2 linked regions of the Caenorhabditis elegans genome follow. Each later gene encodes a partner of the first gene's protein in a complex. Each region holds a gene or a part of one and is shown on either strand. Other genes may lie near its edges.

What was found. The genes of interacting proteins can lie anywhere in the genome.
Region 2: let-49 (region 1) and mdt-21 share a complex: the UniProt entries of both Caenorhabditis elegans proteins name them as parts of the mediator complex.

Annotation. Positions count from the first base shown.
Region 1 is NC_003279.8:14,817,153-14,824,433, reverse strand, and holds let-49 (Mediator of RNA polymerase II transcription subunit 7), read right to left. Parts: upstream 4,023-7,281; 5' UTR 4,011-4,022; coding exon 3,920-4,010; intron 3,798-3,919; coding exon 3,710-3,797; intron 3,586-3,709; coding exon 3,366-3,585; intron 3,312-3,365; coding exon 3,241-3,311; intron 3,185-3,240; coding exon 2,893-3,184; 3' UTR 2,783-2,892; downstream 1-2,782. Other genes in the region: ubc-16 (Ubiquitin-conjugating enzyme E2 W), read right to left, coding at 701-714, 773-1,004, 2,100-2,205, 2,259-2,365; Y54E5B.2 (WD_REPEATS_REGION domain-containing protein), read left to right, coding at 4,212-4,406, 4,460-4,557, 4,606-4,732, 4,802-4,908, 5,038-5,370, 5,645-5,867, 5,915-6,103, 6,462-6,710 and 1 more. UniProt on the Caenorhabditis elegans protein: Component of the Mediator complex, a coactivator involved in the regulated transcription of nearly all RNA polymerase II-dependent genes.
Region 2 is NC_003281.10:11,773,694-11,780,628, reverse strand, and holds mdt-21 (Mediator of RNA polymerase II transcription subunit 21), read right to left. Parts: upstream 3,009-6,935; 5' UTR 2,986-3,008; coding exon 2,797-2,985; intron 1,764-2,796; coding exon 1,560-1,763; 3' UTR 501-1,559; downstream 1-500. Other genes in the region: C24H11.5 (Gem-associated protein 7), read right to left, coding at 22-121, 311-394; immp-1 (Peptidase S26 domain-containing protein), read right to left, coding at 4,044-4,274, 5,296-5,390, 5,441-5,566, 5,620-5,665. UniProt on the Caenorhabditis elegans protein: Component of the Mediator complex, a coactivator involved in the regulated transcription of nearly all RNA polymerase II-dependent genes.

The DNA.
Region 1 (7,281 bases):
AGTACCCGCAAATATTTCGCAATAATCCAATATAATTTCTTATGTATTTTTACTGTTTTGCTGCTAATTTTCAATTCCGGCAAATCGCCGACTTGCCGGAAATTTTAATTCCGGCAGTGTGCCGTTTTTCCGGGAAAATCGTTTGCCGCCCACCCTTGTATCGAAATATTATCAAATGTGGGTACTGTAGCTAAAAAAGGTTCGCTCGTGCCAGGACCCGTGGGCTAAGATATTTAAATTTTTAAAAACCAGTAATAATTATATTCTTATGGAATAGGGACCCCAATATGCAAAATGTTAAGGTACGTGGTCTCAAAAGAAAATTCTAAAAAAGGAGTACTGTGCCTCTGGCCGTTTCAAGACCATGTACCGTACTTGCTGCGTGAGAATTATCGAGATAATATCCAATTAATTGTTGTTGTTGTTTTTTAATAATTAAAAAGATGCATATTTTATTTACAAAATTCACAAACAAAAGAAAACGTATCAGAAAACACTGATGGCATGGGAGACAAGATGAGGAAGGAAGAAGGTGTGTATAATTGAAGGTGGCATGTTGAATGGGATTATTGATGATGAAAAAAGGCAAAAAAGAGGGAGAAGAGTAATTGCGGAAAAAAAAAATAATTTTATAGGTCAATTATTTTCTGGTATCACGTATTCGGCGGGAGAACATAGCAAAGAAGATTGGAGGGGTCCTTCAAACACTGTCGTCTGAAAAAAAATTGTGTTTAATTTGTTTCGAATTTTCGAATTAAGTATTAAAACTGACCATGGAACCACCAGCGAGTCTTACTCGGATTCTTACTGCACGTTCTCACATAAATAGCGTCATCAATTGGATGTTTCTTCTCTTTTGACGATGAAAGCATTGACAGAATCGAGAGGCACACGGATTGAACACTGAGAGCAGGTGTCCAATCATCTGATAGGATAGACAGGCAGATATGTCCATTTGAGTAGATGTGCGGGTGGGCTGGGATAGTTTCGCCGACGAACATCACCTGGAAAAGTGATGATTTGGGTGCATATTGAACAATGTTATACTATTAGGGTGATCGATAAGTTTTTTCGTTTGTTCTCAGTTTTTATTTTTTTCTCAAATATTATTTTGTAATTACATAGTAATTAGTGAGTAGTGAAAAATTTATAAATACCAACCAATTCCGACAACTTCCAGACTGCACCATCTGCCTTCGAGTGGTCGAGAAGAAAAAATAATTTTTTCGATTTTTTTGGTTTTTGGGTTGAATGGAAATGTTAGTGTTTCATGCAGTTGGAAAACTTTTGTATAACGCAGATTAAAAATAGTTGGCAACGAAAAGCACTCCTTGATATCTTAAATTTGAGAAGGTACCGAAAATTAGTTGCAAAAATTACAATTTTCTCTTCAGAGTGGTATATCTTAGACTGCGTCACAGATTTCTATTTATGAACAACTACAAAAATATTAACCAATTATTTCTACACATTAATAATAATAATTTCAAAACCGGCAATTGTCGAAATTGCCGAAATTTTCCAATACCGGCAATTGTCAAAATTTCCAAAACCGACAAAATTGTGAAATTTGCCGAAAATTTCCAAAACCGGAAATTATCGAAATTGCCGAAATTTTCCAAAACCGGCAATTATCGAAATTGCCGAAAATTTCCAAAACCGGCAATTGTCAAAATTGCCGAAATTTTCCAAAACCGGCAATTGTCAAAATTACCGAAAATTTCCCAAACCGACAAAATTGTCGAAATTGCCGAAAATTTCCAAAACCGGCAATTATCGAAATTGCCGAAATTTTCCAAAACCGGAAATTGTCGAAATTGCCGAAAATTTCCAATATATACATATACGAATTCGGAGTCCGAATGCGTATTTAAGCCAAAAAGTACCAAATGGATTTATATTTTATGATGATTTTTTGGCTTAATTACGCGTTTAAAGACGAAAAAATTGTCCCAACATCAATTTGAGCAAGATTGTATTTTTTAATTCGTTATGTTTATTGTATTTAACTTTCAGAAAATATAACATTCCACCAATCTGGACACCAAAAAAGAGTCTCTAGTTAGTCCAATTTTTCACGAAAATAAATTTGTTCTTACCTCCGGAGAATTGAACGGGTACTGAGGACCAAACGTGAATTGCAGCATAAAAACTTCACCCGCATACAATGTTCCCTCGGCGCCGACGACTCCTATTTTCCATTGTCTAAATTAAAATTCGTATTAATTTCAAATTAAAACTGAAAAAATCGATCGTACTTCAAATCGTTACTTGTTGATGTATTATCCACTAAAAGCCCTTCTGGAGCCTCACTTTTCAGTTGAGCCAGCTCTTTCATCAGTCGTCTTGTCGCAGCATCTGACATTCCTGATGAGTGGAGGCGTCTGAAATTAGGGGTATTATGTGTTGATTCACGCAGAATTCGTATACTTCTCGAGGAGAAGAGAATTTTACAGTTTTTTTGGCTTAAATTATTGATTTTTAATCAATAATTTCTGCTCATAATTTCCAATTATAGAAAGAATAAAATCGAAAAAGCTACGTACGACTTTGCGCTTTTAATTGGCGTTTTCCTCTAAAATAAAAAAACCGAAAATTTTAGTTTTCTCATTTTCAGGTTTTTAATTTTTTGAAGAAAAAACACTGTTTTTCGAAATGAAACGTATTCCCTGAAGATAATTGTTTATGTCACACGAAAGCTGCCTAAAAAGTATAAAAAATAATTCGAAATAAAGAATGCGAATTGACGCATTTTCAACAGAACAAAGATGAAAAAACGATTGAAAAAAGTTATTTTTAAACGAAATTTTAATTACAGCATTTCAGAAGATCATCAGAGTCAAAATCATAGTTCGAAAACCCGGTAAAATAAATTAAAATGAAATTATTTAATTATTTCTTCAGTGAGATATCATGAAACTGTCTTGCTAACAAGTGTACAACACTCGGTGGTCCATCTTCTCTTGATAATAGTTCCAGCCTCGCTTTCTTTTTACTATATTCCGATCCTTCTTCCTCTTTCATTTCCACGTCATCTGAAGCTTCTGTCTCCTGAAGCATATGAAGCACTCCGTCTTGCAGTTTGACACGTGTCAGTTCCGAAGGTTGAGGTGGAGCTGGAAGCTTCCCACGGATCATTTGGAATTGGTCATCGACAACTTCTCGACCATCACGCAGATATTTTCTGGAAAAAAGGAGAAAAAATATACAAATTTAAAACTTAATTCCGATTTGACTAACTTAAAATCCTTGCAAATATCCGATAATTCTTCGATTTGTCTCTCTTGTAAAATTCGAACACTGTCGCGAGCCTGAAAAACATAGAAAAATATAGATTTTATTTCATTTTTAAAACACTTTTCTACCTGAACTGGCCGGAATTCATTGATCAAATGATGCATATTAATGAATATCGTGTGTAAATCGACCATTTTCTCCTCTCTCATTGGGTGATCGGGAGCGCGAATCAGAATTTCGACCAAATCGAAAAATGCGACTATGGCGGACCTGTTCAACTTCTTCATCTCGGTTTTCCAATTATTTTTGTTCTTGTAGAGCTCAGCAACACCGGCGTTTTTCAGAGGGCTGTAAATGAATGTTTTATTCTAGTTTTTCCCGCGTATTGAAAAAGGTTTTTGCAAAATAGGTGGGAAAATTCGGCTAGACTCAGCATGTTTTTGGTTTTTATATAGCCGCTAAAATTTCTTACGCGATGACATCATCTTCCAATCGATATTCCTCTCCGTACACCTTGAATTCCGTAAGTGGATGCGGCGGAGGTGGTGCCGAACCTGAATCTTGTTAAAGTGATGTATGAGAAATCTGTTAGAGAAATTGCGTTTTATTTCTAACAAAAAAAAATACTGTTTGCTGAATTAAAAACTGCTAGTTTCAAAATTTCAAAATTCAAACTCCTTACCATTATTGATTCGATCACTTGTATACGCCGATGCGTACTCTGGAGGATTTGGGAACGGGCTGACTGTTTGTGCACCAAAACCAGGAAGCATTTTAAATGAAAACTGAAAAAAATGAGTTGAAAACGATGAAAACAGAGCTGAAAAGGAAGGGAAGTATAATAATAAAAGAAAGAAAAATGAAAAACGTGAGAGTACGGAGGAGCGCAGTTGCATTATTTTTGAAAATTTGTTTTTTTTTCTTTTTTCTTTTTTCTATTTATTTTTGTTCTTAAACGAATTGTTTTCAGTTCAATGGACGAATTAGAAGATAATCCATGTCTTCTCGACCACCTTATTCAATCAAAAATAGCTGAAAAACATCTGCTAAGCGGGAAAATCATCACATGTGCAAAATTTGATGAAAAATACTCAAAATGTGCTGAAAACCAAATAATTGAGGAGTTTCCTGAGCATATCATTGGCTGCAAGTTGTTCAAAAAAGAAAAGGTAAAAGGTTACTCTCAAAATCGCCGACTTCAAACAACTTTCCAATTTTTCAGAAAATAATCACCGTAACATCGAGGAATTCGCTCACAATTCGCATATCTTCAAATCTGAGCGTTTTATCGAAAATTCAATGCGATTACTTTGCCACATCGTGCGTAAATTAGTAAAATAATACTGGAACAATTTCCTAATTTTCCAGAATTTGCTCTCTAATCATCGGAAATAGTGCAGAATCTTGTCACGTGTATTTTGGAAGTGTTATCGGAGAATTAATTGATTGGAAGCCACACGAAGACGAGAAGCCAATTATGAGAAAAGGACATAAAGTTCGATTTTTGACTTGGAAATAGCTTTGTTGTTGGCCGAAAAAAGAATTATACTATTCCAATTTTTAGGGAATGATCTTTTCAATTGTAACGGATTCCACACGTATTTTCACAATTTCTGATGATCGAACAATTCGAATGTGGCCAATTGATGACAGAGAAAGTGGTCCGCTTTGGTTGGTTTTCTAATACTTATTTTTAACTTTAAATTTATCGATTTCAACTAAAACAATTCAAAAAAAAATCTTCTTCACGAGGAGTACATGAGAACTGCTGCGTAAATCGACACAATTCTCCATTTTTAGCACAGTATTCGGTCATACAGCCCGTCCATTCGCCATTTGCGTGGATCCAATCAATTATAGAATCTACACGGGCGGTATCGAACAAACACTGTTCTGCTGGAAATATGATGAACGTTCGATTGATTTGCGGCAAAAGATTGCAATTCCAATTGGTGTTATTCAGAAAATCAGTAAAATAGACGATAGTACACTGGCGATCAGCTCTCAAAATGGAGATCTTTTGGAAATTCACGTGGAACAGCAATCATTGAAATCGAAAATTGTAATTTTGAAAGATGATTTGATGAATTTTGCGAATTTAAATGGGAAATTAGTGATTTTAACGGCAGATAAGTGAGTTTTTTTTTGACTAAAATTACTTTAAAAAACCTCCAAACACGAAATTTAATATTGGACTTTATTTTTTGGAAAATCCAAAAAATGCATAATGAGATACTATTTAATTCCAAGTTTGCATTTTTATACCATTTTGCACAAATTCTTCAGAAAGCCTAAATTCCTGTGAAGGCCTAAAATTATTCAATGGTCTAAAATTCGGCGACTTGGAAATTTGAACTCCTTTTCACTATTTTCTAAGAAAAAATCATACAACTCAATCATCTTACAGTGAGCTAATCCTCTTCGAATCCGATGCAATGCTCCGAATAATATTCCGATGCACAAATATAAAGCATATGACGTCATCAGATGATTCGGTAGTAGCGTGGCATCAGAACACGTGGATTGTCATCACAACTTCGTCAGTTCATCGATTGAAATTGTCAATGAATATCATCTCTGCCACGTGTCACGCCTCATACGTGGCAATTAAGACTATTGATGGAATAATTGTAAGAATTAGAGAAGAAGGGATTCGAAGGAAAACATACTATTTCAGCACGTCTACAACTTTGCCGACGTTGAGAATATCCGATGTCTGAAAAGATTCCGCGCACAGAATGCATCAATGATTCCGGCAGTGATTTCAGTAGTCCACGATAATTTATTGGTTATTGGAACGACGCATGGAGAGCTGTATCATGTAGATTTAGATGAACCGAACGATGATATTCGTCTGAGCTTGAGTGTAAGGAATATTATAGTTTTGCACTAAAATCTTCCTTTTTTTTTACAATGAAACGAGATTTATTTTTCCTTGTAAAGATGAGAAAATCTAAAAATGAAAGGAAAATTTCTGAAAAGCAATTTTAAAAAATTCGAGTACGCCACTTTTAAAGGAATAATCTAAAATTAATATATTCCGAATTTTTCTGTTTTACAGAAAAAAAAATATTCGGAAATTTGTAAATAAAATTCTCCAGAAAAACAAAAATTTGGGTTTTGGAAAAAGTTTTTTTTAAGTCGAAAGTTATGAGATAAATAAAATGGAGATAATATTATTTAATTATTTCAGCTAAAAACTTCGAAAATTTATATATTTCCAGCGTTCCACGTCATTTGAACTTTTTGGTGGAAAAGAAGTCACATGTATTCGATCAATTCCCAATTCTTCAATATTCATGACACTTGGCAAAACTGGAATTTGGAGTACAATTCGGTTAATACGTGGTGGCACTACAAACTATGAAATGGAGGTTATGAATTTTCGAAGCTTCTCGACATCAAGCAGAATGGCATGGCCATCAAAGTTTATTGAATGGAAAGGAAATCTCTTGATTGTTGGATTCTATGGGGTAAGAGTCGATTTACTCATATCTCGTGAACTCCTCGAGGAGAAGATTTTACAGTTTTTTGTTGGAACTTCCTGATTTCTGAGGCACCACGGATTCAAGATCTGGTGGAATTTCGGATCTACGTTTTCCGGATCTGGTATCCCACCCGATCTTGAATACGTGGTGCCTCAAAAATTATAATGTTGAATAAAAAACTTCCATCTTCTCCTCGGGGAGTACAAAAAGCTGCGTCAACACACACTTTTATTTAACTTATCTTATTTTACAGACATCACTAATCATTTGGAACTCTACAACAAATCTTCCAATCTTCGAAACATACTGTGGTGGAGGTCATCGAATATGGCAGTTGAATGGCAGCGAAGAAAACAAGTTCAATTTCGATTTTATTCGAGATTCGCAGCTATGCCGGCAAAAAATTGATTTTCTATCAAAAAACTACTGGATTAGCAATGCACATTCATCTCCAATTGTTGCGGCGTCTGGATCGAGTAACTATTTAGTTACAGTATCCCTTGATGGGCACTTGTCAATTTCGGATGGCAATTTGAAAAGAATTCTGACGATATTT
Region 2 (6,935 bases), on another chromosome or scaffold:
CCTAGGCCACGGCCACCGTACCGACGATCACGTGCTCCGAAGACGGTTGAAATGCTTTAATTGTGGCGGTGACCGTAGTTCGTTCGCACATTTCGATGGTGGCTGGCTTGTCGGCGGATTTCTGGAATTTTTCGAGAATTTTCGGGGAAAAATGGCACAAAAATTGGGATTTTTGGAAAATTTTCAGTTTTTAGACTTGAAAAATGAGAAAATCGGTGGCTTTTTTCAAAATTTTCGCTGAATTTTTCAGATTTTCACCAAAAATATCGATTTTTTGAGAGGTTTTGTAGATGAAATGTCCAATTTTCACCTGCAAAAAGCTCAAATATCGCTCCCGGAGCACAGCTTGTCGCCTCTGTTGCTCTCCTTCTGCTTCTTGTGTGCTCTGGGCCATCTGGAAGTGGTTTTGCTAGGGTTTTAGGCTAGATTTAAGAGAATTTCAGATAAAAAACCATGGTTTTTGCCAATAGAATAGGAAAATGAGGAGTATTAAATTTAAAAAAAAAATCAAATTTTAAATTTAAAAATACCCAAATTCTGGGGGAAAAGTGTAAAAAATGGGCAAAAATACAGAAAACAGTTAAAAATTAAATAAAAAGAAAAAGAGATCACAGTTTTTCGAAATTTAAGAAATTTTGGAATTTTCAAGGGAAAAATTTGAAAAAAAATCGATTTTCTCTGGGAATTTCTAATTATTTAAAGTGGTGGAAATCGATTTTCAATGGGGAAAAATTGGCAACTTTCTAGAAAAATGGGGGAAAATTGAATTAAAAATGATTATTTTTGAGGAAAAAAATTTAAAAAAAAAAAGATAAATTACCCACAATTTTTCAAATTTAGCAAATTTTCAGTAGAAAAAAGGGTAGAAAATCAATTTTGAATGGGAAAAAATGAATGAAAATAAATTAAAATTGACATATTTTAAAGGGTTGAAAAATCGATTTTAAATGGGAAAAATCCCAATTTTAATAGAAAGTCATGAAAGTTTATATGAAATTGAAATTTTCACGGAAAATTAGGCAAAATTTTTTCTGGATTTTAAGGAATTTTCAAGAGGAAATGGACTAGAAAATTGATTTAGAATTCTCAATTTTCCGGGAAAATCGGCCCAAAATAATTTTTTGCTATGAAAATCAATTTTCTCTGGGAATTTCTAATTATTTAAAGTGGTGGAAATCGATTTTAAATGAGAAAAATCGAAAATTTCAAGAAAAATAGGGGAAAATTAATTAGAATTTAACTATTTTCAGGGGCAAAAAGGGATGAAAAATCGATTTTAAATGGAAAAAAAGTTGATTTAAAATCGAAAAATTAAGGAAAAATCACAAAAAAAAATGGAAATCGGCTGAAAACATGGAAAAAAAACATGAAAATCGATATGAAATTGAAATTTTCACAGCAAATTAGGCAATTTTTTCTGGATTTTAAAGAATTGTCAAGAGGAAATGGACTAGAAAATTGATTTTTTTTTCTCAATTTACCAGAAAATCGGCCCAAAATAATGGAAAAATGATGAAAATTACAATAAAAAATCGGCAAAAATCGGCAAAATATAATAATTATTCACTGGGTCTCGAGCTCATTTGTGTCTTTGAAATCTCGGCAAGCTTCTTCTGAACAACTCCGACGAGCCGATTGCTGTCGCCGACGAGTCCGACGAGCTCATTCACTTTTTCTCGCTGCTTTTCGTCGTTTTTTATCATTTTCTCCTCGACTTCCGCTTCCTGGTTGCCCGCTTCGATTGGGAATGAGTCGATGAGGATCTGAAAATTATTTAATTGGTTTTTTCCCGAAATTTTAAGCTGGAAATTGAATTTTTTCGATTTTTAGCCATTTTTCACCCAGAAAATCGAATTTTCAAAAGAATTTCGACCTAAAATTCGATTTTTTTGAGATTTTTTTCAAGAAAATTATTAATTTTGTTCTATTTTTCACCCGGAAAATCGAATTTTCACAATTTTTTTCAAATTTTAACCCGAAAATTGAATTTTTCGACAGAAAATTGGATTTTTTTTGCTGTTTTTTGGGTAGAAATCACGATTTTTTCGGCAAAAATGAGAATTTGCTTAAAATTTTCAATAAAAATTGGATTTTTCTGTACTTTTTTGGCTGAAAATTAATTTTACTGAAACTTTTGTGGAAAGTGGATTTTTTTTAATTTTGAGTTTTTTTAAATTTTAAATTAATTTTTTTTTTCGGCTAAAAATGTGGATTTTTGAATTTTTTTAAAGAAAAATTTCGATTTTTCTTCATTTTTCACCCGGAAAATCGAATTTTCACAATTTTTTTCAAATTTTCACCCGAAAATTGAATTTTTCTGAAATTTTTTGGCTGAATATTGTAAAATTAATTTTTTCAGCCAAATTTTCAGAAAATCCTAAGCAAAAAGCTTCAGAAAAGCAGTTTTTCTCGTTTTTCAAACTATTTTATATTCCAGGAAACAATAATTTTCAAAAATTACAAAAATCCTCATTTTCAGCCGAAAAAAATTTAATTTAAAACTAAAAAAAACTCAAAATTAAAAAAAAATCCACTTTTCACAAAAATTTCAAAAAAAAATCTAATTTTCAGTTAAAAAAAATAGAAAAATACAAATTTTAAATTTTTGTCGGGTAAAAATGAGGATTTTTTTGTAATTTTTTGAATAAAAATTAGGGTTTCCTGGAATTTTCTGGAATTTTTTGAGTTAAAACAGGCTAAAAATAGTTTGAAAAACGAGAAAAACAGCTTTTCTGAAGCTTTTTGCTTAGGATTTTCTGAAAATTTGGCCGAAAAATGCTCAATTCTATAGAAAACCTCAATATTTTTAGCGGCTTTTGCAATTCCAGCGGCAAAAATCGCGCAATTTGGCTCATCCTCAAGCTCCTGTGAAATTGCTCCAAATTCACATGGCGGAGCAGTCGCCTGGAGCACTCCAATCGCATTTGTCATTAATCCGGCCATTTCGTTAATCATATCCTGTAGTTGGGTCATTCGATCAGCCATTTTCAAGAGTTTTTGGGCTGAAAATGAGCTTGAAATGTAGTTTTTAATAAAAAATTGGAATTTTCGTATAAAAATTGGTCGAAATCCTCTGAAAATTCGAGAAAATCAGATAAAAATGCATTAAAATGGAGTGAAAATTCATTTTTTTTTTCAAATTTTTTCCATTAAAAATTGATTTTTTTGAGTTGAAAACCTAAAAATCCTTATTTTCTGCGATTTTTAAGGTATTTTTCTGATAAAAAACCGGATTTTATGCGTTTTTTGGAACTTTTTAGGAATTTACTAGTAGAAATTTGAATTTTTTGAAGATAATTGGCTAAAAAACTTTGAATATTTGAGAAAATCGGATAAAAATTATTTTTTTTCTTCAAATTTTTACCAAGAAAAATTGATTTTTTTGAGTTGAAAAACTAAAAAAAATCCTTATTTTCTGCGATTTTTAAGGTATTTTTCTAATAAAAAACCGGATTTTGTGCGTTTTTTGGTACTTTTTAGGAGGTTTTCTAGTAGACGTTTGAATTGTTTAGACGAAACTTGGCTAAAACTCTGAAAATTCGAGAAAATCGGATAAAAATGAATTAAAATGGAGTGAAAATCGATTTTTTTTTTCAACTTTTTACCATGGAAATCTAAATTTTTTGCGTTGAAAATCCATACTTTCTGATACTTTTTTGGTAGTTTTCTGATGAAAAGTTGGTCGAAAGGCTCTGAAAATCGGATAAAAATGAATAAAAAATGAGTAAAATTAATTTTTTTTTTAATTTTCAATTAAAAATTGAATTTTTTTTGCGCTGAAAACCAAAAATTCTAGTTTTCTAGCGACTTTTTAGAGAGTTTTCTGATGAAAAATTGGATTTTTGGCTTCAAATTGATAGTTTTCATGGAATTTTTGCTGTAAAAGTGTTTTTTTCAGGTAAAAATAGGGTTAAAACCCATTAAAAAAATAGAAAATGGAAGTAGAAAAACATGGAAAAATAGTATTTTATGGCAAAAAAAAAAGTGAGACAAAAACCAGGAAAAAAGGGTGGAAAAGCACATAATTACACTGAAAAAGAAGCCTATTTCTCTGCATTTCTATCACTTTTATCCCAAAACCAATGATCAGAAATCCATCCGGCTCTCTCTGGAGGCCATATTCTCAGGCTGAGCCTTATCTGAACAAGGGCTTCAGGTACCGGGCCGAAATGTCTGGAATCTGTTGAAACTGGGCCGTTGTCACCGCGAAGGAATACGTGACCAATTGGAACTCTGCCAGATGGAAGCAAATGGGAGGTTACTGGATCGCCTTCCTGAAAAAATTGAAAATTTTATGGGTTTTTTTTAATGAAAAATAGCATTTAAATTGGCTAAAAACATCTGAAAATTTGAAAAAATCGGAAAAAATTGAATTTTTCAAGGAAAAATTATTTTTTTTTCGACTTTTTTTGGTGGTTTTGGATGAAAAATCGGATTTTTAAACGAAAATTGGCTAAAAACATGACACTGGGTCGCCTTCCTGCAAAAATTGAAATTTTAGGGTTTTTTTCTCGGGAAAATCGGAGCAAATTGGATTTTTTGCGTTAAAAACCTGAAAATCCTCGTTTTTTGCGACTTTTTAGGTGGTTTTCTAGGAAAAATCGAATTTTTGAAATGAAAATTGGCTGGAAACAACTGAAAGTGCAAGAAACATCTGAAAATTCGAGAAAATCGAAAAAAAAAAGATTTTTTTGCGTTAAAAACCATAAAATCTTCGTTTTTTGCGACTTTTTAGGTGTTTTTTTTAAATAAAAAAATCTGGGGTTTTTTGAACGAAAATTGACTTTTTTTTGCGTTTTCTGGCTTTTTACAGATTTTTTCCATAAAAATCCTCGTTTTTTGCGACTTTTTAGGTAGTTTTTTGATGAAAAATCGGGTATTTTAAAGAGATTTTCGGCTAAAAATGCATTTTTTGCAGATATTTCTATGCTTTTTTTTCAGGTTTTTCCTCTGAAATTATGGCTGAAAATGGAATTTTCAAAGATTTTTTACAAAAAGTTTTGTAGAAAGCCAGTTTTTTTTCAATTTTTTGCGTTTTTTTTTTAGAGATTTTGTGATTTTTCAGGTTGAAACTACTTAAATTCGCTTTTTTACACTTTTTTCCTGAAATTTAAACTGAAAATCAATTTTTTTTGCTTTTTTTTGTAAAAAAAAATTGCTGAATTTCAGGTTTTTCCCACCATTGTCGCGGAAAATGGCTCTAAAAATGAGGCAAAAAAACCAACTTTTTTCAATTTTTCAGTGAAAATTAAGTTTTTTAACATGAATTTCACGATTTCCAAGCGAAAAACCAACTTTTGCAGCTATCCGTTTGCACAGAAGCTCCTTAGGCTTCTGCGGATTCACACATCCCACTATATCTCCGACCTGGACGTTTTTATTGCGAATACCTGAAATTTCAGCCACTTTTATGTGAAATTTTCATTCAAAAAACTCCTACTAAATCGCTCGGCGAGCACCAAATCACCGTCATGAATCGTCGGATGCATCGATGGACCACTACAGATCACCATTTCCCCGATGTACTTGCTTATGCAGTGTCCGACGCAGTAAAAAGCGGCGGTTCCTGGAATTTTTGGGTTTAAAATGCAGTTTTCGGAGGAAAAATTGAGAAAAAACCTTTTGTAAACCTCCAGAGAAGCTTCAAGCCCTTTGATTTGACCATATTTGTCAGAAAATCTGGAAAAAGATGTGTTTTTCTCAAGTTTTGACGCTTTTTTTAACGGAGAAAACACATTATTCATAGAGTTTTCACAATTTCGGCATGACTTTTTATGAATTCACACTAAAACCAGTGATTTCTAACGATTTTTAGGTGAAAAATTGAATTTCAACACTTTTTAAAACATTTTAAGAGCGAAAAACAAAAATAATAAACAAAAAAAAATCGAAAAACATTCTCGCTGTGCATTCTGCCGTGGCGGTGTTTGCGTACAAAACACCAGAAAACGGTGCACGTGACGTGTCGTTTTCACTTGATTTTATCGCTTTTCTCTTCCGGATTTCGCAAGAAAACCTCAATTTCTCCACGTTTTCAAAGCCAAATTTCTTGAAAACTTCATAAATTTATAGGTTTAATTAATAATCGAGCCAAAAAATCCAATTTTCAGCCAAAAATCCACTTTTCAGCAGAAAAAATCCACTTGTAGCAGAAAAATCAAATTTTCAGCCAAAAACTTCAATTTTCAGCCAAAAATCCACTTTTCAGCAGAAAAAATCCACTTGTAGCAGAAAAATCAAATTTTCAGCCAAAAACTTCAATTTTCAACCAAAAATCCACTTTTCAGCAGAAAAAATCCACTTTTAGCAGAAAAATCAAATTTTCAGCCAAAAAATTCAATTTTCAACCAAAAATCCACTTTTCAGCAGAAAAAATCCACTTTTAGCAGAAAAATTCAATTTTCAGCAGAAAAAATCAATTTTCAGCCAAAAAATCCACTTGTAGCAGAAAAATCAAATTTTCAGCCAAAAACTTCAATTTTCAACCAAAAATCCACTTTTCAGCAGAAAAAATCCACTTTTAGCAGAAAAATCAAATTTTCAGCCAAAAAATTCAATTTTCAACCAAAAATCCACTTTTCAGCAGAAAAAATCCACTTTTAGCAGAAAAATTCAATTTTCAGCAGAAAAAATCAATTTTCAGCCAAAAAATCCACTTGTAGCAGAAAAATCAAATTTTCAGCCAAAAACTTCAATTTTCAACCAAAAATCCACTTTTCAGCAGAAAAAATCCACTTTTAGCAGAAAAATCAAATTTTCAGCCAAAAAATTCAATTTTCAACCAAAAATCCACTTTTCAGCAGAAAAAATCCACTTTTAGCAGAAAAATTCAATTTTTAGCCAAAAAATCTAATTTTCACCCAAAAAAGCCGTTTTCAAAGCCAAATTTCTTGAAATGTTCATAAATTTATAGTTTTAACCGTTTATAATCGAAA